7 linked regions of the Rattus norvegicus genome follow. The protein of the gene in region 1 interacts with the protein of each later gene in a biochemical or structural test. Links are inferred from orthologs where the notes say so. Each region holds a gene or a part of one and is shown on either strand. Other genes may lie near its edges. The genes, in order: Smurf1, Ube2d1, Plekho1, Rhob, Ube2d3, Pdlim7 and Ube2d2.

What was found.
Region 2: the proteins of Smurf1 (region 1) and Ube2d1 form a complex in vitro, tested with the Homo sapiens proteins (3 studies listed by BioGRID, with this or other methods). The link is inferred for Rattus norvegicus from reciprocal best matches to the Homo sapiens genes SMURF1 and UBE2D1.
Region 3: the proteins of Smurf1 (region 1) and Plekho1 form a complex in vitro, tested with the Homo sapiens proteins (4 studies listed by BioGRID and IntAct). The link is inferred for Rattus norvegicus from reciprocal best matches to the Homo sapiens genes SMURF1 and PLEKHO1.
Region 4: the proteins of Smurf1 (region 1) and Rhob form a complex in vitro, tested with the Homo sapiens proteins (2 studies listed by BioGRID and IntAct, with this or other methods). The link is inferred for Rattus norvegicus from reciprocal best matches to the Homo sapiens genes SMURF1 and RHOB.
Region 5: the proteins of Smurf1 (region 1) and Ube2d3 form a complex in vitro, tested with the Homo sapiens proteins (15 studies listed by BioGRID, with this or other methods). The link is inferred for Rattus norvegicus from reciprocal best matches to the Homo sapiens genes SMURF1 and UBE2D3.
Region 6: the proteins of Smurf1 (region 1) and Pdlim7 are reported together in a solved structure, tested with the Homo sapiens proteins (2 studies listed by BioGRID, with this or other methods). The link is inferred for Rattus norvegicus from reciprocal best matches to the Homo sapiens genes SMURF1 and PDLIM7.
Region 7: the proteins of Smurf1 (region 1) and Ube2d2 form a complex in vitro, tested with the Homo sapiens proteins (3 studies listed by BioGRID). The link is inferred for Rattus norvegicus from reciprocal best matches to the Homo sapiens genes SMURF1 and UBE2D2.

What each region holds. Positions count from the first base shown.
Region 1 is NC_086030.1:14,829,043-14,832,542, forward strand, and holds part of Smurf1 (E3 ubiquitin-protein ligase SMURF1), read left to right. Parts: intron 1-1,582; coding exon 1,583-1,697; intron 1,698-3,051; coding exon 3,052-3,230; intron 3,231-3,500. UniProt on the Homo sapiens protein: E3 ubiquitin-protein ligase that acts as a negative regulator of BMP signaling pathway. Mediates ubiquitination and degradation of SMAD1 and SMAD5, 2 receptor-regulated SMADs specific for the BMP pathway.
Region 2 is NC_086038.1:17,332,459-17,335,958, reverse strand, and holds part of Ube2d1 (ubiquitin-conjugating enzyme E2 D1), read right to left. Parts: intron 3,474-3,500; exon of another isoform or gene 3,393-3,473; intron 2,664-3,392; coding exon 2,600-2,663; intron 2,513-2,599; coding exon 2,481-2,512; intron 86-2,480; coding exon 8-85; intron 1-7.
Region 3 is NC_086020.1:186,235,615-186,238,294, reverse strand, and holds part of Plekho1 (pleckstrin homology domain-containing family O member 1), read left to right. Parts: intron 1-719; coding exon 720-860; intron 861-1,905; coding exon 1,906-2,010; intron 2,011-2,555; coding exon 2,556-2,657; intron 2,658-2,680. UniProt on the Homo sapiens protein: Plays a role in the regulation of the actin cytoskeleton through its interactions with actin capping protein (CP).
Region 4 is NC_086024.1:37,082,530-37,086,530, forward strand, and holds Rhob (rho-related GTP-binding protein RhoB), read right to left. Parts: upstream 2,676-4,001; 5' UTR 2,393-2,675; coding exon 1,802-2,392; 3' UTR 501-1,801; downstream 1-500. UniProt on the Homo sapiens protein: Mediates apoptosis in neoplastically transformed cells after DNA damage. Not essential for development but affects cell adhesion and growth factor signaling in transformed cells. Plays a negative role in tumorigenesis as deletion causes tumor formation.
Region 5 is NC_086020.1:226,541,938-226,545,993, forward strand, and holds the start of Ube2d3 (ubiquitin-conjugating enzyme E2 D3), read left to right. Parts: upstream 1-1,256; 5' UTR 1,257-1,529; coding exon 1,530-1,553; intron 1,554-4,056. UniProt on the Homo sapiens protein: Accepts ubiquitin from the E1 complex and catalyzes its covalent attachment to other proteins. In vitro catalyzes 'Lys-11'-, as well as 'Lys-48'-linked polyubiquitination.
Region 6 is NC_086035.1:9,128,579-9,132,607, reverse strand, and holds the start of Pdlim7 (PDZ and LIM domain protein 7), read right to left. Parts: upstream 2,801-4,029; 5' UTR 2,746-2,800; intron 2,230-2,745; exon of another isoform or gene 2,103-2,229; intron 1,793-2,102; 5' UTR 1,782-1,792; coding exon 1,686-1,781; intron 1-1,685. UniProt on the Homo sapiens protein: May function as a scaffold on which the coordinated assembly of proteins can occur. May play a role as an adapter that, via its PDZ domain, localizes LIM-binding proteins to actin filaments of both skeletal muscle and nonmuscle tissues.
Region 7 is NC_086036.1:27,669,399-27,672,898, reverse strand, and holds part of Ube2d2 (ubiquitin-conjugating enzyme E2 D2), read right to left. Parts: intron 1,526-3,500; coding exon 1,494-1,525; intron 1,414-1,493; coding exon 1,336-1,413; intron 1,256-1,335; coding exon 1,150-1,255; intron 1-1,149.

The sequences.
Region 1 (3,500 bases):
TGTAACATACTAATTTATTGAATTCCATTGTGATCCAAGTATAAAATGAAGACTTAGATACATCTAAAGCATAATTAAGTCTTCTCACTGTAGAGCCTCCCACCTGTGTGTTGTGTAGGGACTGCATTTACTCAGTAGTCACCAGATCTGGGGACCCACAGTGACCTCCGTGTGGGTGCAGGTGCATGTGTGCGCTCCCAGCCCCCATTCTCTTACACTCTTACCTGACAAAGGAAGCGAGCAGAGAATCACACAGGCAGCAGGGAGCACACTTCTGTTAGACCCACCAAGGAGGTCCCTGGTCCTTAAAGGGTGCTCGACAGAAGTACAGATGGGGAGCCTCGAGCCGGTTTGGTCTGACATATCTGTATCTTTTGTGTGTTTCCATCCCTTTCCTGTACAGATGGTTTTGGTCTGTGCTGCCCTCCTCAAACCTGCCTCCTTTCTGTTTGAAGAGTCGGGATCCACACTGAAATCTAAGCTGTGCTCTGGAGCTCAGTCTTTTGAAGGCGCTGTGGCCCAGTGTCTTCAAGACTGAGCCCACCCCGCAGCAGGGCCCCCAACCCCAGTTTGGTTTCCAGTGGAAGTGGTTATTGTGTTTGGCTGATTTTAGGTTTGTTTTTTCTTTTTTAAGATAAAGTGATTTAAACATTAAAGGAATTTAGAAACTTAGTTACCCAGTGCATACCTGCCAGACTTCTAAAACCTCTGTGATGTTTTTGCATTCATCTAAGTTTTCTTTATATTGCACAGTGTGAGTGGCCTGAGGCATTGGCTCTGTCTGGAAAGTGCTTGCTCTGAAAGCATGAGGACCCAAGTTCAAGCCTTAGAGCTGGGAGGTGAGGCAGGAGGATCCTTGGGGCTCGCTGGCCAGCCCGCCTCCAAAAATCAGCAGAGCGATTGAGGAAGACAGTGAGGCAACCTCTGCTCTTCATGCGCGCACACACACACACACACACACACACACACATACACACACAGTCACATACACAGTCTCACACAGTCACACAGAAAATGTAGAAAAGGAAAGTGTTCTGTGCTTAGGGTCTAAAGTCAGAATTCAACAGGAAATTAGAAGGGCATAGTTGTTCATAAATTCTCTATGTCTCCCTAGAGCTTGAAATGTTCACCTACCAAACTCTTATTATAGAATGCTTAGAAACTCCCAACTGGCAGTGGTGGCTCACACTTTTAATCCCAGCTCTTGGGGGACAGAGGGAGGCAGACCTCTGAGTTCAAGACCAGCCTGGTCTACAGAGGGAATTCCAATACACACTCAGGACTACACAGAGAATGCCTATTTTGAAAAATCAATCAATCAATTAATCAATCAATAAGCAAGCTGGAACTGGAATGGTGGTTGGCAGTTGAGAGCACTTCCTGCTCTTTCAAAGGACCTGACCTTGATTCCCCAGCATCCACAAGGCACTTCACAACCTCTTATAACTTCCGCTCCAGGCATCTGATGCCCTCTTCTGGCCTGCTTGGGTACTGCATGCACATGGCATTCATTCACACACATCTTTAAAGCAGTCAGAAAATGATGCCGTTAGCACATGTGAGCGTGTTATTATTGTTCCAGGGAGTGGCTGTATTTGTTGTGCCATGAAATGTTGAATCCGTATTATGGACTCTTCCAGTATTCCACGGACAATATTTACACACTGCAAATCAACCCAGATTCTTCTATCAACCCTGTGAGTATTACCATGAGGAGTTGAGAAATCCAGCTGTAGTTCTAAGGCAAACCTGGGTCCCCTAGTTATGGGTGACTTAGAGAAAATGCTGGGGAGAGCTCAGGGCAAAGGCGGGGAGTACTGACTGACTGGACCAGACTCTAGTCAGGTTTAGATCTGGAACCTGCAGGGGAGGACTGTGGGTCTGAGCTGCTCTGTGCCTGAGTCCTTTACCCTTTGAGGGGACTCTGGTATAGTGGGAGATGGTGGTCTTTTGGATGTCATCTTAAGAGCTAGGTTACCAAGTCAATTCGCTGATCAAAATTGGAAAAGTTTCATAATTAGCTCTCTTGGGCCACAGCTGTGAGCATTCCACATGCGGTAGGCACAGGGACACATCTAAGGGACCTCCTACACCCTGGAGGTCACAAGGCCACAGAGTTGAAATGAGGGACTATCTCTACTAGAGAATTAAAATACAAATGAACTGTGGTTGGGAAAGTGGTTCAGCCACACAAGCGTAAAGACTGACGTGAGACTGCGAATTCACTGCAGAATCCACATAGAAAGCCATATGTGACTGGGCACGGGGTTACATATTTTAATTCCAGCTCTCAGGAAGCAGAAGCAGGCCTAAGAGCTAACTCTGAGTTGGAGGCCAGCTGTAGTGAGATCAAGAATAGTTGGGGCTATGTAGAAAGACCCTGTTTTCAAACACCAAACAAACAACAAAAACACAGACGCCAGACATGGTTGTACATGCGCTGGGGAAGTGGACCTGGGTGACTCCTGGAGCGCACTGGCTGGCCAGCCTAATCTGTGAGATCCAGGTTCAGTGAAAGATCCTGGCAGCACTGGGCAGCAACTGGGGGATGAAGGTGATCTTCACATTCACCACACATGCACATCCACACAGTGAATAAACCTTTACCCAGCCTGGAAACTAAATCCTGACACGTTTTCAGAAACACACGAGCTATGAGTGCTTAAACTCCAGAGCCCCTCCAGCTGAGGAGGAAGAAGCACAGCCTTCCTAACTGTCGAGGGCTCCGCATGTTTACTTTGTACCAGGCCCCTGCACGCTAACTAAGTTCTCAGTGTTAGGCCAGGGCGTGTGTGCTGGTGCAGTTGTCATCCCAGTACTCTGAAGGCTGAGGCAGAAGGATTGTGAAGTACCAGTCCCACTTGTGTTAGGAGTGAGTGAAGCTGGAACTCAGTGGCAGCCTTCCTGTCTGGCCGTGGGTAGGTGAGGGATGGGCAGCTGAGTATATGTCCTGTTGGGTGTAGAGTCACAGGAAGCCTGTGGGAAGTGGGTATCCTCGCCTACTCGTCATCTTCCTAATGTCCGCCTGCCGTTCTCTGGCGCCCCCTATAGGACCATCTGTCTTACTTCCACTTTGTGGGTCGCATCATGGGTCTGGCTGTGTTCCATGGACACTACATAAACGGGGGCTTCACAGTTCCTTTCTACAAGCAGCTCCTGGGAAAACCCATCCAGCTGTCGGATCTGGAGTCAGTGGACCCAGAACTTCACAAGAGCTTGGTGTGGATTCTGTAAGTGTCACCATCCTTTCCCACAGCTCAGGATGCTGTTGGGTGTGCATTCTTTTGGGGGAACAGGTGTGAAACTAAAGAGAGTAACAGAATTAACTATAACAACATCCAACATTGGGTTGCAATTACAAATTAACAAAACATGTCATCATTTAATTGATTGTATTCTTTTCATAAGCTGGTTTGGCTTGTTATTAGGTTTGATTACAAATGCCAGTAACTTGCCTGGTTTCGTGGGGGTGGGGTGGATGGAGATCATGCACCCCTAAA
Region 2 (3,500 bases), on another chromosome or scaffold:
TAAATACCTTTGGTGGTTTAAAGGGATAGTCTGTCGGAAAGTGGACAGTGAGGAAGAAGACTCCACCTTGATAGGCGCTGTCGGGCTGAAATTACACAGAGAAAGCACATCAGAGTCTGGCTAAGGCACATACTCAACCCTCTGAACCATCCCCAGGGCGTTAACCGTGCCAAGGACCCTCAGAATTAGCGTGTATAAAAACAAAACAAAACAAAACAAAACAAAACAAAACAAAACAAAACAAAACAAAACAAAACGATCCTTGCAGCATGGGCTGAAGGAATTTACATGGAGAGCAGACTCCTTCCCAGGTATGAAGTTACCCAGGGTTCCCACCGAGTTTAAAGAGGCGCAGACGCGCATGCGCACAGCAGTGTGATTTAACCAGACAGATTTGTGGGTACCAGTGTACGCATGAGGACTTCTGGGAGGAAGGAGGACTCTCTTCAGCAGTCATCGCTGTTTTTAGAAGGTAACAACTAAACGTTTACCTTTTTTTAATTTCCAAATATTAGATTATAATGTCCACGCAGGTATAACCAAAAGGAAAAAAGTTTAGTAAGAGGGTTAACTGTACAATTTACCTCAATATTCATTTGCTAGGACTTTATATTGCAGAAGATATACAAACTCCAAAATCAAGCTGGATGAATTCAGTATTTGTGATATGTCAAATTAACAATCAACTTTAGCGGGGTTGGGGATTTAGCTCAGTGGTAGAGCGTTTGCCTAGCAACCCTGGGTTCGGTCCCCAGCTCCAAAAAAAAGAAAAGAAAAAAAAAAATCAACTTTAGCAAGGCCCAGTCAGCTGCTTAATGGTGTGTGTGTGTGTGTGTGTGTGTGTGTGTTATATGTGTGCATGTGTATATATGTGTAAATGTATATATGTGTACATGTGTGTGTGTTTGTGTGTATACATGTATGTGTATATATGTGTCTATGTTGTATGTACACGAAATATACATAAACGAAAGAGAAAGATTAAGGGTAAAAAACAAAAATAGTAGCAAAATATATTCCAAAACCTATTTTTTAAATTTATGTATATGAGTACATATATACATATATTTTATGTTATGACTATACACAACAGAAGAGGGCATCAGATCCCATTATGAATGGTTGTGAGCCACCATGTGGTTGCTGGGAATTGAACTCAGGACCTCTGGAAGAGCAGCCAGTGAGTGTTCTTAACCTCTGGGCTATCTCTCCAATCCCCCTCAAATTGTACTTTAATTCCTTCATATTTACTGGAATGCATCATGGGTAATAAAGACAGGTCTGTCGTTCTCTCAGTGCTTGAAGTTCTGCATGAAGATTACAGGGTTATATTGTCTAATTAGCCTTAGTACGTTGCTTAATTCTAGTTCATTAAACGCTAAAAAAAATGTAAACAGATCACAAAGACAAGCAAGGTCCCCACAGACAGTTGGGTGACTATAGAGGATGGTGGAGCGTGTCTAGGCTGTTGCAGTAAGAGGGACACACAAAACAACATTACAGCTGCTTGCTACACATGATTCGCCTGAGAAACACCGTGGAGGCCACAGCTCTGACTGGGAGGCGCACCTCTGGATGATGGGGCTTTGAAGGTTCATGTGGATAATGAATACAAAGCTGGAAGAACTATGTTCTTACTGACGACTGTTAGGTAAATACGCCGCTCTCTCTCTCCTCTTAACTTAATAGACTAATTTAGTCATTTAGGATAATTCCCCAGGGACGACTCTTTGAAATTCAGCATCTTTTTTTCCCTGGTTTGGATTACAGGGCAAATGATTTAAAAGCAATGGCTGAGTCATAAAGCATCCCAGAGGACGTTTGTAAGGCCATTCAGGAAGAACATTGCTAGCGTCTTCTCACCGAGCGCCTGCTCTTTCACTGTCGGTATTTTGTTCGTAGAAAGGGAAAGCCCGTTTCATTTGCCAGTGCTGCTTCTCGGGTGGGGAGAGAAATACAGATAACCAGTGATAAGACAGTCGTCTGCCGTTTAAGGCCAAGCAGCAAACTCAAGAGGTGACCGAGACACCACCCAGCAGGACTCCTCCACTTCAAGTCAAGAGTCGTAAGGAGACCTACTGCAAACTGATGCTTGCCAGATGTAGCAATTCCACTCCTGGGTCACACTTATTTCAAACCTCTGAAAACCGTGGGTGTGTGAGGAAGACCCCACCTCTTTTAAAAACAACTGATGCTGTGTTAAGAATTAATAAGGCCAACACACAGACTGCTTGCACAGAGAGCTATGGAAACCTTGCTATGGAACGAGGAGGTTTTAGCACAGGTAACCCAGGAGGCATTGGCCAGCCGTGCTTTAGAAAAATCACTTCAAACCCTCGATCATGTTTTGCTTCCTGGGTGATTTCAGAGGACGAGAATATTCATCCTGAGTCAGGGACATCTCCTTACGGGTCAAAAGCCAAGAGTGCAGAAGAGGCACGGGGGGGGGGGGTCAATCCACACGAGTGAGTTGTACTTACGGGCCCCATGATGGTTGCTTGCCAATGGAACACTGCAATACAGAGGAACAGGAGTCACTTACAGTTACTCAGAGCCATCCCTTCAACGGTAGCAAAACCGAGCAATCGAATAAACTTACAGTCATCTCCCACGGGTCCCGCGGAGCAGTGGGCAGGTGGATCACGCTGTAAATCACTTAATTCCTGAGGGAGAGCAGAAACACTTGCAGTTAATCCTTCCCTTTCTGGGGAAGCAGGCCCTAAGAACCCAGAAAGACACAGACTAGCAGCTTCTCTTTAAATTATTTTAGGCTGATTCTATTCATCATGGACCCTGCCATTATGGGGAGAAGAAGGAAGTTGTGTTAAACTCCTTGATGAGAGAGCCCCGGCCTTTGAAAGGACGAAGCAGAACAAGAGTGTTTTCCTTTAAGATCCCTACTACACCCTTATGCAAGTTCACATATGTCTTTGCTAGGCAGATGATACCAACAAGCAGGTCCCGGCTGGCACAGTAACGCATGCATGAACTCCCCAGGTTTCGTTTCCAGACCCAAACAAACAAGGCCCGTCTTCCAGGAAGCAACAGTCCAGTGAGGGAAAGTGAGAGCTTGGAAACATGGGTACTTAAGGAATGACTTGAAGGAGCCTAGGATCTGTGCAAAGAGAGGAGGTGGGTTGGGAGAGAGAGATGGCTCAGTCCGCAAAGTGCTTGCGGCACAACCAGGAGGACTCAAGTTCAATACCCAGCGCCCGTGTACAAATTTGCATGCAGCGAGGCAAGCCTGTACTCCCAGCACTGGTGAGAGAGAGGGACAGGAGGATCCTCAGGATTTAATGGCCAGCCAGCCTGGTTGAACTGGTTAAGTTCCAGGCTCAGTGACAGACCCTACCTCAAGAATAACATGGAAAGCAATTGAGAAATACACTGGATTCGGGGTTGGGGATTTAGCTCAGTGGTAGAGCGCTTGCCTAGAAAGCGCAAGGCCCTGGGTTCGGTCCCCAGCTCCGAAAAAAAAAGAAAAAAAAAAGAAAAAAAAA
Region 3 (2,680 bases), on another chromosome or scaffold:
AGGGAGCCCTAGAAAGGGGAGAGCACTGGAGAGCCAAACCTTGCCAGACAAATGGCAGTAGATGAATTGTCCCTGCGCTCCCCCCACAGCGCATGTGCTCAAAAGGATGGGCAGATCGGCGACAGGCTGGTAGACGCCTCCCTTGGCAGACAGACAGGGACCTCCTTATACATGTTTGCGTGGTTTCAACTTTTTCCCGGGGAAACATGACCATCTCGTTCCTGGCATATTCCCAGCCAAGTAGAAAAGGGAGAGTAGCTGCTCAGGAAGTCTCCTATGACGTCCTACGTTAGAGAGAGCAGGTGGAAAGGAACACTCTGCTAACCGTATTCCCTAAGGCCAGAGGCAGCCCTTTGTCTCTTCCAGGTGTTGGCTGCCTTTCCCCTTCCCCTGGACTATTAGTGGTCACTCTTGTCTTCTTTACTTGGAAGGATCAGAGCAGCCCACTACTGTGCCCCTTTAAGGGCATGCCCCTTTAAGGACTTATAAGCTGTGTTGTCCTTCAGAGACCCAGAGTGAGAGCCACGGGTAGAGGGAGGCACTGGGGTGGTAGCTTGTGGGGAGTGGGTTAAACAGAACCCCATACAAGGACTCAGGTCTCAGTCCCATCCCCCAAGTACACAGCTTGGGTGGAATGGCTTTCTGCTCTGTTACCCTCCCCTTTCCCCGGGAGGAAAGGCAGAGTAATTTTATCCTTATGACACCCCAACCTCCCGTAGGTAAAAGATGAGAAAAATAGTCAAGAGGTGTTTGACCTGAGTGACTATGAGAAGTGCGAAGAGCTCCGGAAATCCAAGAGTAGGAGCAAGAAAAACCACAGCAAGTTCACACTGGCCCGATGCAGACAGCCGGGCACCACGGTAGGCTCTCCCTCACTGCAGTCAGTAGGCTCTCCCTCACTGCAGTCGGTAGGCTCTCCCTCACTGCAGCCGGTAGGCTCTCCCTCACTGCAGTCGGTAGGCTCTCCCTCACTGCAGCCAGTAGGCTCTCCCTCACTGCAGCCGGTAGGCTCTCCCTCACTGCAGTCGGTAGGCTCTCCCTCACTGCAGCCGGTAGGCTCTCCCTCACTGCAGTCGGTAGGCTCTCCCTCACTGCTGCAGTCGGCAGGCTCTCCCTCACTGCAGTCGGTAGGCTCTCCCTCACTGCAGTCGGTAGGCTCTCCCTCACTGCAGCCAGTAGGCTCTCCCTCACTGCAGTCGGCAGGCTCTCCCTCACTGCAGTTGGTAGGCTCTCCCTCACTGCAGTCGGTAGGCTCTCCCTCACTGTAGGCTCTCCCTCACTGCAGTCGGTAGGCTCTCCCTCACTGCTGCAGTCGGTAGGCTCTCCCTCACTGCAGTCCTGGCCACAGGGCCCACAATTATTCTCTCTCTGGCTTCTGTTATTTAACTGGAGAATATTCTGACCATTTCCTTTCCTCCAGGCAGGCTAGCCTATAACCTATTCAGCCATAGATTGATATCTCCCTCCCTCTCTCCCTCTCCCTCCCCTCCCCCACTTTGCACACACACACACACACACACACACACACACACACACACACACACACACTGTACATACGTATGAAACATTATTGGTGCTTCTTCCCTGATGTGTCTCTGAAGTTCAAGGGAAGCCAGGGAAGCCAAGCTTGCCACACCCTGTCCTCAGACATCTAAAGATCCTGACTACCTGAGCGCAGTCAGTCACACGTCCCAGTGTCATCATCGTAGCTCCCTTCCACCTTTCTAAAACAACCTGTGCATTTTGCTGGAACAGGCTTTGGGCTCCTTCAGTCACTGATGTTCCCAGAAGCAGAGTCTCCTTCCATGAGCGGGACCTGAGGGGATGAGAGGATTATTCCTTTTGGGGGGGAGGTTATAATTTATTTGTAAAACCCTAGCTAAAACAAGATGGTTCCCTTCACAGGCCCCCAACCTCATCTTCCTGGCAGTAAGTCCTGAGGAAAAGGAATCATGGATCAACGCCCTGAGTTCTGCCATTACTAGAGCTAAAAACCGCATCCTGGATGAGGTCAGGGGCTTGTTGTGGGAAAGGGGGTGGGTGCTAGGGTGGAAAGCAAGCTGTGACGGACGGACAGACGCACTAGTCGAGGGGGGTGCTTTGTGGGGCCCCTCTAGGTTCCCCCAGCTCTACTTTCTTGGCTTTTTCCCCCCTTTGGTTTCTTGAGTCAGGGTTTCTCTGTGTAGTCCTGGCTGTCCTGGAACTCCCTCTGTAGACCAGGCTGGCCTCGAACTCAGAGATTCACCTGCCTCTGCCTCCCAAGTGTTGGGATTATAGGAGTGTGCCACTATGCCCTGACTTTCTCAGCTTCTTTAAAGGCTCTGTTGTGTTGTCTCCCCACCCCGCTTTCTCTCTTAAGTCTTTTCTCTGCTGATTCGAACCCCACACACGCTTCACAATGCCTGATCTAGTCTGGGGTCAACTGTGTCCGTCAATCCGTCTACCCACATCCCTGCTCAGAAACAGTGGGCAGGATGGCCTGTTTCCCAGTCCAGGGAGACTCAGTTGGGACAGAGTCCTAAAGAAACCCTGGGACTCACAGTGCATCTCTTCAGGTCACCGTTGAGGAGGACAGCTATCTTGCCCACCCTACCCGAGACAGAGCAAAAATCCAACACTCCCGCCGTCCTCCAACCCGGGGACACCTCATGGCTGTGGTATGTACAACTGCACGAAAGTA
Region 4 (4,001 bases), on another chromosome or scaffold:
CCACCCCTAAAAACATTTTAAAAAAAAGTCATCTAGGTTTAATGTTCTTGTTGTCAAAGTGAGACAAGCAGCACCCCAGAATAAACCTCAGATACTTTTTAAAAGACCTACAGATGAAGTCAAACCAAGATCTTTGGCCTCATGTAATAGGACTAAATGCACAATAATCAGTACACTCTGGGTGTCTGGTTGACAAGCTTATCCGCCTCAGGGAATCGGACAGGAATAACCTGGCCTCTTGGGGTCACCCAACCCCTAAAAGGTGCTAGGTTCATTGACCATATTTACCATATAGAAGCAGTTACTTCCAGAAAGGGTCTCTTCCCTTACCCCCCACTTCAGACGTTTTCTATGACACTATTAAGCCACAGGAGCCGTTTATAAATGTCATCATCATAGTCTTTTAATATTTTACATAAAAAACTGTATACACAGCTTATAGAACTTTTATGTAAACATCATAAGCTCACCACTTTGTCATCTGTCAGTTTATTTAAAAAAAAATAAAACAAAAACAAAACAAGACAATTTAGTAGAAGTACCACTGGGCTGGGAAAGGAGGGAATAAGGAAGAGGAAGCTTTGCTCTGCACAGAGAATGTACAGAAAATTTCACATAGATGAAGAGACTTGTCTTGTGGGGAGAGGGAGGGAGGTTTAAATAGACCCCAATACGTGTTGCCTTCCTTTACCAAAACTGTGTGTATGCTACACAAATTTTTAAAAAGTCACATGGTTGACATTTTTTTCAAGAAAACAAAGCAAAAATTAGAATCTTTTTTGTAATCTCCTTAAAGTCATCATAGTTTGTTTTAAAAAAAAAACATCAGAAGTAGATGAGGTTACAGCATACAAGTGTGGTCAAAATGCTGCCTTATGCAAATGACAAGTGCACTGGGTGTCAAACAATGGGACAATTGTGCAAAGAATTCTTTCATCAACAACAAAAAAAGCTTCAGCCTTTAAATAAATTCAGCAACAATAGTCTCTCGACTGAACAATGTTCACTTGTAGGACAGGCACAAAGTTCGCTTATGGCAAAAGTGACCCCACAGCACACCCTGGATCCTCTGCAGGTGGCTGGAAAGGAGGTTCGCTGGGGCTTGGCCCAGGAGACACTGTGTCTGGGAGCTGCTTCCTCTCAACCTCAAGTCAGTTGCAAATGTCTTCCCAGGGTGTGGAAAGATGGCCGAGTCCAGTTCATGCTTGGATGGGTGGGCTCCTGACCCAGCCTGGGAAGAGTTGCTCATGGGCCCTGGTCACACCACTCACCACTAAACAATACCATTCTGCCTCCGAAAATAAAATCTGTATTTATGTAACATCCCCATCCTCCCCAGCCCTCCCCTCCCGTGATTCCAGGGGGTCTATGTTACAGACATGGAGCAACAGTAGTGGCTTGCTGGTTACAAGCGAACATCTGCTGGGGCTCAACCACTCTGCATGCCCCTGGGGAAACCAGAGGCGGGGGTGGGGCAGGAGTGGGGTAGGGGTGTAGGGAGTCGTACACACACACAACCACACTTCGAGGCCTGGCTCTTTAGAAAAGGACGCTCAGGAACCCCTTGGCACTCAGCAGGGCGCCCAGGCCTGTGCCACACAGCTGGACACACACAGACACTGGGAAGGGGGGAGCTCGGTGCCCACGCTAATATTCAGCGTGACCAGCCAGAGCCACCAGCAGATGTCAGGCAGTCTGGTGGTGTCCTCGGGGGCACGGGTCTCCCTTTCTCCCGGTTAGTGGGCGACCGGGCCAAGGAGGGGGAGCCACGCTGGCAAGGGCGTGAGGCAGGGCGCGGCCTTCATAGCACCTTGCAGCAGTTGATGCAGCCATTCTGGGATCCGTAGCGCTTCTGCAGCGCGGCGCGCGTGGCCGTCTCGAAAACCTCGCGCACGCCCTCCTTGGTCTTGGCCGAGCACTCGAGGTAGTCATAGGCTTGGATGCGCACCGCCATGGCGCGGCCGTCATCCGTGCGCACTGGCTCCTGCTTCATGCGGGCCAGCTCCGTGCGGACATGCTCATCGCTGCGCAGGTCTTTTTTGTTGGCCACCAAGATGATGGGCACATTGGGGCAGAAGTGCTTTACCTCGGGCACCCACTTCTCGGGGATGTTCTCGAGAGAGTCCGGGCTGTCTACCGAGAAGCACATAAGGATGACGTCGGTGTCCGGGTAGGAGAGCGGCCGTAAACGATCGTAGTCCTCCTGGCCCGCCGTGTCCCACAGCGCCAGCTCCACCTGCTTGCCGTCCACCTCGATGTCCGCCACATAGTTCTCGAACACGGTGGGCACGTACACTTCGGGGAACTCGTCCTTACTGAACACGATCAGCAGGCACGTCTTGCCGCACGCGCCGTCGCCCACCACCACCAGCTTCTTGCGGATGGCCGCCATGAGCTCGCCGGGCGCGGGCAGCAGGAGGGGCCCGCGAGCGCCTCGCCGCCGTCCCGCTCCCTGCTTGCCGCTTCCCGCTCTCCCGCGACCGCGCGATGCGGGCTAGGCACGCTAACTGCACCTGGACCCCGCGGTGGAGCGTTCTCTCGGGGCGCTCCGGCTGCCGCGGCAGGGGCGCAGGGGCATACGATGCACGGAGTGTCGCCGCGCTGCTGCCGGGTAGTGTTCTCGGCTGTCCCGGAGTCGCGCTGCTTTGTGCGAGTCGATGGCTGATTTTGCGGACCCGGCCTAGCTTCTTTCCCGGGGCGGGTTCTTCTCCAGACCTAGGGTACAGGGGCGCAGACGACGACAAGCGGACTGCGGTGGCAGATGCGGGCTGCGGCCCTAGCGCCCGCTATTTAAAGAGTCCGGCCACTTTCTTAATATAGCCACCCAATGGGAAGCCACAGGGCTGAGCTCATCGCTGCGGAGCTTAGCTCCGATTGGCCGACGGCTGCAGTCCGAAGGCGGGTTCCCGTCAGCTTGATTGACAGCCCTGTCCGCCGGGCTGGGAGAGGCGGTTACTGTGGAGTCTGCGCAGCGACCGCCGGGTAGGGTTGTGTAGCAGCCGGGTCTCCGCCTTCGTAGCAGCCTCTCTGAGCGCGACACTGTGGATCAGGCAGCCTGGAGCCCTCCGGGTCTGGGCGGGCAGTTCCGAGACGAGCTACACTTTTGTGGGGCGTTGGCTGCTCCCACAGCTTCATATTTATCTAGCTTCGGATCGAACTCCCGATCAAACATGGGGGGAGGGGCAGCGCCTTTAAGGAGATCATGTTTTCACTTAAACAGACACCCATGCTCGGTTTTTTGTTTTTTGTTTTTTTTTTTGGTTACCTACCCCAAGGGTTTCATTCTTTCTTACTTTCTTTAGGTGACTAAACCCTCTTCTGCTCTGGGCCGAACTCTGGTACTTTCTCAGAGGCAGCCTTTGCACAGAGAGAAGCCCACAGTAAATTGTGTGGGCCTGGGTGAGTCCTCTCTAGGCTTTTCTCTTCAAGGCCCGCACTTAGGTCTCCGGGTGAAGAAGATGAGAATCTAGAAAAGGCACAGCTGTAGGACAAAGGAAAGAGAGGTACAGAGGGCATTCCGCTGAAAAAGAAACCATCCATTTTAGGCAACCTTCACCCAGTTCTACGACATTACATCTGATTCCAGTCCTAAAGCCAGAGAACTGCTTGAAGTACACTGTGCAAGAAAACCCATCCACTCCAACAACTCTCATCGAGGAGAAAGGCTTAAAGCTGGGGAAATAGGCATGCAGTCAGCCTCACAGGGGACTTGCAGGCGGGCACATGGTTACTACGTAGAGAATAAAGTTTCTTGGCATACACCAGGTCTTAATTGGTGAATTAGCCCATCCTGCAGGAGATGACACCTCCTCCTATCTTAAAGGATTTAAGTCAGTCCATTGTAAGAAATGGAAAAGGCAGAAAGCAGCAAAGGGAGTTACGGAGGGTCTTCCCCCGAAAAGAGAAACTGAACAAAGGGAAAAAAGAGGAAAGAAAATGGCTTAATATAGCTGCTTGGGGTCCCTCATGGAGGACTAGGCTAAGGGTACCAGCTAAGAAAA
Region 5 (4,056 bases), on another chromosome or scaffold:
TCTCGCGATAACTTGCGGATTTGGGGGCGGGCCCCAAGCCAGGAAGAGAGCACAAAACTGCCCTTAAGTCATTGCAGACCCGGAGCTCCGGTGAGCCTGCCACGAGGTTCTCGCGAGATCCGCCGCCTCCATCCCAAGTGAGGAAACGGGGGGCCACAGTAGGGAGGGGCGTGGGGCCTCAACCGCGCAGCTGCCGCTTCCATTACCTTCCTCCTAAGGTCTCCTTCCGGTTCTCGATGCTTCTCTGAGTCTAAGGGTTTCCGCCACTCGTCTACCCTCCCCCTCAGCCCATGACCCGCCTCCGTCCCCCGCCCTCCCGGTCCGACCTCCGATCGGTTTAGTAAGAAGGTGCTGTTCGGACAGGGAGACGGCAAGAGGGTGGCGCGTCCACTCGGCCTGGACGAGGGAGGCAAACCGCTCCCCTTCAACCCTCAGCTCGCCCTGCGCTCGCGACGGCGGCGTTGGCGGACGGATACGCGGCGGTGAATAGGCGGGGGGAGAGGGGGAGGGGCGGAGCGTGGCAGCTGGCAGTAGTTCCGTCAGAGCGGACATCTTGTGGCTGTGCCGTGCGCGTGAGCCCCGTAGGGCCGGGGAGGCACCAGCTGCCGCGCGGGGAGGAGGCCGAGGCCGCAGCTCGAGGGAGGCCCCGGCCCTCTGTACGCGTGGGTGTGGACAGCTCGGGAAAGGGGAGGGAGACGGGCCGGGGCCGGCGCGGCGCCCCGGGCTGTGGGCGGCCCGAGTGGGCAGCCCTCGGGGCTGGGTGGGGTAGGATGGGAAGGCCGGCGGAGCCCGGGCCCGGCTGAAGGGGGAGGGGGCATGGGCGCGTCCTCGCGCCGGAGCTCCGCGGCCGCCGGGCGCGTGGAGAGGTGGCTGGGCGCGCGCACGCAGGAGCGCGCCGTGAGGCGGAGAGTACGGTGGTGTCAGGGGCGACCCAGAACAGCTCTAGCTGTGGGGACAACAGCACACGCGAGTCTAATTGCCTTCTGCTGGCTCGCCGACCCTCGAAGCAGAAACCGAAAGAAGCCCGGCGTCGGTCCGGAGCCTCCCGCTCCCCTCCCCCTTGCCTTTCTTTGCCCTAGTGACGCCGGCCTAGCGCCGACTAGGCCCGGGCTCCTCCTCTGCCGGGCTCTGGACCCTGCCCCGCACCCACCCCTTTCTCCTCCGCCTCTTCCTCTCCCACCCGGGGCTCTTCCTTTCAAGAGGCCGGGAAGTTAAACTTGTAACCACCTCTCGGCTCTTCCCGTCACCCTCGCCCTCTCTGGGCGAAGCGCGGATATAAGTAGCTGGTGGCTCTGCCACCCCACCCTGCCCGGATCGCGACGGTTTTCAGGGTTCTGGAATCAGCAGGGTTCCTCTGAGGCCTTGGCGAGTGGCTGATCTGCTCCGTTTTTGCAAAAGGCGCCTGTGTCTGGCAGAGCCGGTGTGAGAAGAAGAGAGAATCCTTCCCCGCCGCCGGGATAATCAAGAGTTTTGGCCGGACCTTTGAGTACACATCGGGATAGTGAGAAGCCCGGCGAAAAGCACAGACTATGGCGCTGAAACGGATTAATAAGGTAAGTTGTTGGGACTAAATGTTGCGGATGGGGTCGCGGGAAGAAAGGCTTGGTGCCCAGAGAAAAGCCTGGAGAGTTGGATTCTGAAAATACCTTACATGGGGTAAGAGAAGGCAGGGGCACTTTGAAATGAGCTGTAAGATAGGGAACGGAATGGTTTTGGCAAGCGAAATGTTTGTTTCACTAGAATCTGCTAGTATGGGTGAGGGAGCGTGGCATTTATTTAGTCTCCTCAGTTTTTTGCCTAAGAGTCAGGTTTGGGGAGTAGAATTATGTACAGGCCTCGGCAGATGCCATGGCACTGCTTCCTATTCTAGGTTCTTCAAAACATTTTAGCTATTAAGGCTATAGGCATTCTAAAGAAAGGAATGTAACAGTTGAAAGACGTTTTGTTCCAAACTTGACTGAGAGTCGGGGTATGACAAACATACCTCAGTTTGCTAAAATGCGGTGACGAAGTCTGTTCAGAAGCTTAACCAAATCTGGGCAGTTACACAAGAGTATGTGGGGTTGGGAGGAGGTGGACCGACACTGTTGCCACTTCCTGTGTTGTGTGGTCGCTGCTTTCACCCAAAGCTATGTATCTGAGGCACCAGGAACCTATATGTAAAAGCCTTCTGAAAGATTCCGGGGTTGGGGGTGTTTGACAGTGCAGGGAAACTGGATGGAGGACTGCTTTGCTTAGAACCCCCTTCCTTAAGGAGGCTTGTTTGAGCAATTCACTAGAATTTGATAAGTCGTTGCTTTAATTTGGAAAGAGCTACGATTTTTCCAGAAATACAGTGTAAGTGGAGCCACTTCTCTGGTGGTTTTTGTCTCGTTTTCTTGCTCTAACTTCTATCCCGCATTTTAAGATGGCGGCTGCTTTAACTGGCTCAGGCTCTTCCCGGCATCTCCTTTTCTAACTATAAGATAATGGTCTCTGTTAAGCGTTAGTTTTTTTAATCCGGTTGTAGGGAGCTCTCAGAGCCTCTGCTCCCAAGACTAAACCTAAATTCAAACTCTCAGACTAAGTTTCTGTGTGTGTGTGTGTGTGTGTGTGTGTGTGTGTGTGTGTGTGTGTGTGTATTTTGTATTTGGTTCTTTCACAATCGAGAGGGTGGAGTATTTACAGCCAACTTGAAAAAAAATGTGGAGTAAACTCAGTCCTAATAGAAAAGACAAAATGGGAAGGTTCGGTATTAGAAACTTTGACTTAGCACAGTTTTTAAAGAGTTCTGTGGAAAGGCGAGGACTTGGATTGACTATAGGTCTAATACTACTGTATTTGTAGTTATTTTATATTATATATATATATGTGTGCGTGTGTGTATATATATATATATATACATATATATATCTTGATCAGCTTGATTGGAAAAAGCTGTAGTTTCTGAAAAGTTAATTCTTACCTGAATATATTGTTGTTGAATCTTGAATTCTTAGGACATCCTGGTAATCTTTGTGGTTTTATGCAAAACACTTAACTGAACTGTTTGTATTCTTGATGATAATGGAAAGAGAAAGAAAACCTTAGAATTCAAGACTTCAAATAGATAATAGATAACATTAAAATTACCACTTAGTGTGACAATTTTGAGGGTGAACCTCACATTAGAGATGCATTATTGTGCTTTATAGCATAATTAATACAGAAACTATATCATTCAGTGTTAATCAAATTTCAGATCCATAGTGTAAAACGAACATTTTAAAGGGAGGTCTTACTGATTTTTTTTCTTTTTACAGGTGATACTCAGCTGTTTTGGCAACATTTTAATGACTTAAAAGCTCTAGCGAGGCAGTAATGGTTAAGTGTAAACATTTGTAGTAAAAAACATGAGATAGAATCAGACTCTAAGCAAGTTTATCAATTTGCCTAATCTGTACTAGGAATTTTTCTAGCTACTGGGATGGCAAGAGAAAACATATTTTTGCAAGTTTAAAGAATTATGTATGGATATTAAGAGGTAAATTTTTTATATTCGAAAACTGTTTATATGCCAAATGGCTGATGCTTCTACCTGTAGGGTATTCCAGCATATCATGGTTTTTCCTTCAGATACTGTCAGAACCATGAAGCAACTTAAAAAATGGCACCCAGATGCAGGAATAGTTTGTGAAAGTACAGAAGGAGGATCCTTTTCTTCTTAAGGCAGTATTGTCATGAGGTTTTTTTGTATTGTTCCCTGTTTAGAATTTATTCTTCTGGTTCCCCCTAAACAAGTGTTAACAAGCCATTACTATTTTTATTAAAATGCAACTGAGCTTTAGTGATAAATGGGTATAAGTTGATACTTTTATCTTTTTTTTTCTTTTGTGTGTTTGCTTGACTGTTTCTTAGCTCACCAAACAACCATACGTGTATTCTTTTGCTGTGTTTGTAATTATTTGGACTAAATTGTAGTATGGTGCTGTTATTAAATGGGTATTTTAGCAGCTGAATTCCAAATCTGTGTTTTTGGAACTTTAAGAAAATTTACTGCTACAAAGCAGAATGACTGTTACATAATTGGGGGACTTT
Region 6 (4,029 bases), on another chromosome or scaffold:
AGGGCAGAAGCATGTGAGGGGTAAGCCGTCCGTCAGAGTTGGAGAGAGGAGCACCATGGGGAGGACCATTTTGGAAAAGAGAGGTTAGTGAGATTAAGGAGGGGAAAAGCCAGGGGGCTGGACAGTATTATGGGTGTGGGTGAGTCAGCCTGGGAGCTCCACTGAGCAGCCCAACCCCCAAATCCCAGACATTACCTCATCTTCCAGGCCTGGGCCCTCAGCCAGCCCTAGCCCCTCCTTCCTCCCTCCACTCTGGGGTCAGGGGAGGGATAGCGGGCTGGTCCAATTTAGAAAAGACCACCCCACCCATCAGGGCCTAACTCACTCCAGGGCAGGGCTCAGTGGGCGGCCCCACCCACATGTTAAGGCCTCTGACAAAGGAGCCCAGGGGCCAGCAGGGGCCAGAGTACCCCCAAACCAGCAACATCTGCAAGGCCTTCATGACCAGTGAAGAAACTGAGACCTACAGCACACTGGCCAGCACTTTCCCAGAGGGGAAATGTAGGCTGAATGTGTGGGGGAAGGGTCCACAGCCCTTAGTCATCCTGCTGGTTGGAGCAGATTCCAAGGCAATTCCAGAGAAGTATCCTGGGAAGAACACAGCCAGCATGCATGCCTGCCCGCCCTGACCACCATGTCTGGCTCCCAGAGAGAAACAGCCTTGATACCCCTTTCAGGCTGAGTAGTGCCTGGAAATTCTCAGGCCCATTTGGGCTGGGCTTGCCCTGGGCAACAGCTGCCTGCCAACAGCCTACACTGTGGCTGGGTGGGCCTCTCTAGGCAAGCGGATGTCAGGGCAGGAAGTCCCTGCCCCCCTTTTCATCCCCCAGGCTAGTTGTAGATACCAAGCTAGAAGGCTGGCTTCACCCACTCTGGGCACAAAGTTTGCTCTGAGTCCTACTGACACCAATGACGGAGGGCCAGGTGAGGGGCCTAGACCTAGGCCAATCCTTTTGGGCTTTCTTGACTAGCCAATACTGGCCATCCCAGCTGGGGCTGCATTCTTGGGCTTATAAGGCAATCCCCCCTGCCACAGGGAGGAGTCAGCTCCCAGCTCCACCCTCCCCACCAGGGTGGACTGAGGAATGGGACCGAGAATCCTACAGGCCCGCCTTGCTACACCTCTGCTCAGGGTCAAAGGTCACGACAGCCCGCTACACCAGCTGACTGAGACTCAGCCCTCAAACAGGGTGGCGGCAAGAGTTCCCTGTCCTTACACATACAGAGAGTACAAGCCGTCCGTTTTGTGCCTCAGTTCAAACCCTTGCTCTGCTGTGGACCTGCTGAACGTGCTCCTCCACACCTCCAAATTCTATCACTTGGTGAAACATGACAACTGCTATCCCTTGAATAGCAGTGAAATTAAAGTTACATCCAGCTGGGGACCTGGCTCCACTCGCTGCTCTTCCAACTAAGACACTTCTCGGAGTCATCAGTCTCCAGTACTGAAGGGATCTCCCCCTTGGCACTCATAGGTGGGCGGCCACGGGTGGAATAGCATCAAATACCATGCCAAAGTGGGGAAACTGGGAGCACCCTGTTGGGAGTCTCTGTAGTGTCTGTTTGGATCTGGGCACTCCTGTCCTTTTGGTCCTAGCTTGCTCCTGTGGTTTCCCACCATGATCTGCTCGAAACCTGAGCACCCAAGAACCCTTAGGGAGTTTGTTCCCCCATCCAAGGCTCACCCGAGAGATGGAGAGGGGCACGTTGAAGTCCTTGCCCCCTTGCAGACGGAAGCCCCAAGGGGCAGGTCCCTCCAGCACTACCTTGAAGGAATCCATGGTACCTGCTCCTGTGAGGAAAGAAGAGAAAAGTGTCTGCACTGCAAATTGGCAGGCAGGTCCAGATCTGGGCACTAGTGTTGGCCAGGTACCAAGAAGGCACGGGCGGACGCTAAGCACACACAGGCACTGGGAGGCAGGTATCTCGTCTGGCTTGGCTGGGCTCCTGGCAGGCCGACCTCTAGCAGACAACAGGCAAGTTGGTTCCCCACCCTGCCCGCTGCCACTGGGAGGGTGAGAAGAGTCCTCATCAAGCTCAATTTCTTTTCTCTTCCAGGGGTTGGCTGTAGGGTTAATTGGCACTGCTTTGCCCAAGCTAACCTGGAATCTCAGGAGGGCGGCGGGGTGAGTCAGGGGCCAGCTCCCCCTCCTTCCCCGGGTCCCGGCAGGCAGGCCGCCGCTGGAGCCTGCTCGGACTATATAAGGCGTGTAAGCTGACACTGTGGAGAGCCCGAGGAGGGAGCACTTTAGGGGCTTGGGATATGAGGGGGAGGGGTGGGGAAGGAGGACGCTGGAGCAGGTCCTAGCCATTTTGGGACAGGTCGGGGCTGCTGGTGGCCAGGGCGGGACCCCTGGGCTCTGCAAGGGGAAAAGAAAAACTGGGGTACTGGCCCTGTGGAGAGCGACGGGGGTCATGTCCCTTACGCATGGCTAGAGAGGGGATCCTTTCTGGAAACCAGAGAAAGTAGTGCCACCCACGCACGATGTTCCCTTGCCAACGTGACTCTGTTTCCCTTCGTCTCCCGCCCCAGCCCCGCGCGCTTGGCTGCGTCCCCACCGCACACAGTGGCGCAGGCGCCAATCAGCCCCACTTCGCCGCAGGAAGGCGGGGGCGGAGGCTGCGGCCCGAGCCAGCCGAGTGAATCTGGCACACTCCACGACCGCCCACACCCTCCCCAGCGCCTCAGCAGTCCATGGGACCCCGTAGGATGCAGCCCAGGAACCCCCTCGCGGACGCCGGTACCTGAATGCCCGGCTGGGCGGCTGCCTGGCGGCCTCCAGGAGCCGCGCTGGGATCCGCCGCTGCGCTCTGACCCCGCCTCCGCGGACGCCGCGCATTTTGAGCCCGCGGAAGGGGGCGGAGTCCTAGACCACGCCCTCCCCAGGCCAAGCGAGTGGACAGACCGGGGTCGGTGGGAGGCCCCACCCAGTCCAGAAGCCCTGAGTCTCCAGGAGGGGGAAGGCGATGTCAGGCACTTACCCTCGCCAGCCCCGTCCCTGCCCAGCCTGTGCCCTACTCCAGGCTCTAGCCCGAGCCCCTTGCGCCTCCCACGGGCGGAGTGGAGGAAAAGCATCCCTTTGAAACACCCAAGTTGATTGGTCTTCTCTCACCTTACTCTTCCTTGTAGGGGAAAGTGGCATCATTAACACTTCTGTTAGGGATACTGTTAGAGGTCGATGTGGTCAGCACCATCAGATTTCGGATTCTCCAGGAACTGGAGAAGCGAGACAGGGTAGTTTCAAGTTACGTTTCCTGGCGTTCGGAATGTAGCTCAGTGGTAGAGCTCGTTGGAGGCTCTAAGTTCAGTCCTCAACCCCAAACCCAACTAAAGGCTTGCAGGGGCTTCAGTGAATATATATACATACGTACGTACATACATACATACATACATACATACATACATACATACATACATAGCCAACGGGGGCGGACTTAGCTCCACTTGTTTCCTGACAGTGTAAGTTCATCCAGACAGCAGCCCACAGCCCTGAGACTTCACCCAAGCTCCCAGAACCACTGTTGGAATGGTTTCCTATTTACACCCAGTCCAGAGTACACACTGTAGCTGTCTTCAGACACACCAGAAGAGAGCATCAGATCCCATTACAGATGGTTGTGAGCCACCATGTGGTTGCTGGGAATTGAACTCAGAACCTCTGGAAGAGCAGTCAGTGCTCTTAACCGCAGAGCGATCCCTCCAGCCCTCAGAGGCCCTCCTTTATCCTCAGCTTTAGCCAAGGGTGGGCAGAAAGGAAAAGCTGAGCTCTCCTGAGTGTTTGAGTGAGTAGTGAGGTGCACAGTCTCCCCTTGCCCAGCCCCCAACTGGCATTGCACCACCCTCTTCCCCGTCATTGTCCTGAGTACACATTGGCCTATGGAAGTTGTCACCTTTGGAGAAATCCTCTTCAGGTGGATCTGAGTTCAAGGCCAGTCTGATCTACAGAACGAGTTTGAGGGCAACTGAGGCTACATAATGAAGCCTTGTCTCAAAAAACTGAAGGAAGGAAAAAAAAACCCTTCTTCAGC
Region 7 (3,500 bases), on another chromosome or scaffold:
ATCACAATCAACAACCTGCATCTTACTATGGACCAATTCTCCAAAATTCAACTGTTTTCCATTGTATCAACAAATACTATTACAAACTAAGGGAGACTGGTCCCTTTTTTTTTTTTTTTTGGTTCTTTTTTTTCGGAGCTGGGGACCGAACCCAGGGCCTTGCGCTTCCTAGGTAAGCGCTCTACCACTGAGCTAAATCCCCAGCCTTTTTTTTTTTTTTTTAGATTTATTTAATCTATGTAAGTACAGTGTCACTCTTTTCAGCCTACCTCCAAGATTTAATCATTCCTTAAAACAACTGCATAAAATATACTTAAGTAACACTGGCATATGGCAGAAAGGGTCTACATACTCAAATTAAGAAGAACAGTTTAGGGGTTGGGGATTTAGCTCAGTGGTAGAGCGCTTGCCTAGGAAGCGCAAGGCCCTGGGTTCGGTCCCCAGCTCCGAAAAAAAGAACCAAAAAAAAAAAAAAAAAAAAAAAAAAAAGATTTATTTAATCTATGTAAGTACAGTGTCACTCTTTTCAGACACACCAGAAGAGGGGACCAGATCCCATTACAGATGGTTGTGAGCCACCATGTGGTTGCTGGGAATTGAACTCAGGACCTCTGGAAGAGCAGTCAGTGCTCCTAACCACTGAGCCATCTCTCCAGCCCTAGACTGGTCCTTTTAAAAAGGAAACAGGAGTTATTTAAAAAAAAAAAAAAAAAAGCCAGGACTGGAAAGAAGTTAAGCAGTTAAGAACAATGGCTGCTCATTTCCCAGTACCCATATGCTAGCTCACTCTAACTCTATAATTCAATTAACAGGTCACGCTCTTCTGGCCTCTGGGGGCAACACACACACACACATACACACACACACACACACACACAGAGCAAAGATATACATGCAGATATAATATACAAAAAATAATTAATTTAAAAAAAGATAATTTTAACAAGATAGACCAACAGAGACCTGTTTTAAAAAAAAAAAAAAAAGCAGTTACTTTTTCCTCTTTGAGACAGGGTCTCACTACACAGCCCTGGCACTTAGAAACCTGCCTGTCTCTGTCTCCCCAGTGCTGGTATCAACGGTGTACACATCTACACCCTGCATAAAAATCAGTTATTTCACCTTGATACCAAACAACTATTGCATTACCTTTTGAAATAGTTAGTGCTGGAGACCACTGTGACCGTAGAATATCAAGACAAATGCTGCCATTACTGTTAATATTTGGATGATAAATTCTTGTTGTAAATGCAACCTGAAGAAAAAGAAATCTTTGTGATTGGTTTACCAGTACCATACAGAGCATCTTAAGAGCAATGATCATATACTAATTACCTTAGGCGGTTTGAAGGGGTAATCTGTTGGGAAATGAATAGTCAAGAAAAATACTCCACCCTGATAGGGGCTGTCATTCTGTTGATAAGAGAGTGAGATTAAAAATGAATAAATTACATAAAACAATTATTAATTAAGGAATTAAAGTGAATACTTACTGGCCCCATTATTGTAGCCTGCCAATGAAACACTGAAAGAAAGAAAAAGTCACCATATTAATTAACAATATTTGCATTACACCTACACCGTAGAACCTCTCATTCCCAGTACCGAATCAAAGCTCATTTATAAATAGTTTATTTATAAATAGTATGATAACACCTAGTTTCTATGGGCAGGATGAAGATTAAACCATTAAAAATAAGAGACAGACAAGTCAGCAGGGTGTGGCAGTGCCTACCTTTAATCTGAAAGCCGCTGGAAGCAGAGGCAGGTAGATCTCTGAATTAGAGTCCAGCCAGAGTTTGAGTTCTAGTTACAGAGAAAGCCTATCTCTAAAGCCCCCCCAAACAACCACCAATACAAAAACAAAACAAAAGACAAAAAAATCCCCAAAACCCCAACAACAAACCCCACCAAAACCAAACAAAAAAATCAGACAGTTGGTTTTAAAATATTTGGAGGCGCTAGAGAGAGGCTCAGCTGGTTAAGTATGCACACTCTGAATCAGAGTAGCTTCTAACAACCTGTAATTCTAGCTCCAAAGGATCTAATGCCCTCTCCTGGTCTCCAAACAGAAGAACTCGTGTGTTAACATATGTTATACACATCATTACCACCAAACCACCAACAAAACTATAAAGATCCAGGGCATTTTTCTGAGGCCAGAAAGGTGGCTCAGTAAGAAAAGGTTTGCTATCAAGCCTGACATGTTTGATTCCCAGAGCAAGAGAAAATCTGCTCCCAAGCTGTTCTCTGGCTTCCAAATATGTCTTGTACATGTACACATACACACACATAAAGTAAATATAAAGTCTTTGGAACTAAGCATGGTGATATAGCATGCCTACAACAATGTTGACAAAGCTGAGGTACACAATGCTAAATTTAAATTTCTCTTTGGCTAAGTAAAGGGTGTGAGACCAACCTGGTCTATATAGTGAGTTCCAGGCGAGCCATGGCTACACAGTGATTCTGCCACAAAATTAACCTAACTAACCAACAAAAACTCATCTCAAAGTCATGCCTGGAAGATAAATCTGTTGACAAAGCCCATAGAAAGGCCCTACCTAGGTACTATTAAAACTTACTTATTTGCCTCCAAGACTGACTGACTGACTTTCTTCTCTGTCTCTCTCTATTTCTGAGACGGGGGTTTTCTATGTCCAGGAACTCACTCTATAGTACAGGCTGGCATTAAACTCACAGAGATCAGGGCTAGACAGATAGTTTAGTAGTTAAAAGCACTAGCTGTTCTTTCAGAGGTCCCAAGTACAGTTCTCAGCAACTACCCGGCATTTCACAATCACGAATGATGGGATCTGATACTCTCTTCTGATCCGTAGGCTTTCATGCTGACAGAGTCCTCATATACATTAAATAAATCTAAATGAAACAAACAAGCAAACAAACAAACAAACAAACAAAAAAATCCCAAACAACCCCCTTCCCCAAAACCCACAGAGATCTGCCTTCGGAGTGCTGGGATAAAGACATGCACCACCAAAACCAGCCTACCTCCAAGATTTAATCATTCCTTAAAACAACTGCATAAAATATACTTAAGTAACACTGGCATATGGCAGAAAGGGTCTACATACTCAAATTAAGAAGAACAGTTTAGGGGCTGGGGATTTAGCTCAGTGGTAGAACGCTTACCTAGGAAGCGCAAGGCCCGGGGTTCGGTCCCCAGCTCCGGGGGAAAAAAAAAAAAAAAGAACCAAAAAGAAGAACAGTTTAGGGGGCTGGGGATTTAGCTCAGTGGTAGAGCGCTTACCTAGGAAGCGCAAGGCCCTGGGTTCGATCCCCAGCTCCGAAAAAAAAGAACCAAAAAAAAAAAAAAAAAAGAAGAACAGTTTAGGGGTTGGGGATTTAGCTTAGGGGTTGGGGATTTAGCTTAGTGGTAGAGCGCTTGCCTAGCAAGCACAAGGCCCTGGGTTCGGTCCACAGCTCCGAAAAAAAGAAAAGGAAAAAAAAAAAAAAAAAAAAAAAAAAGAACAGTTTAG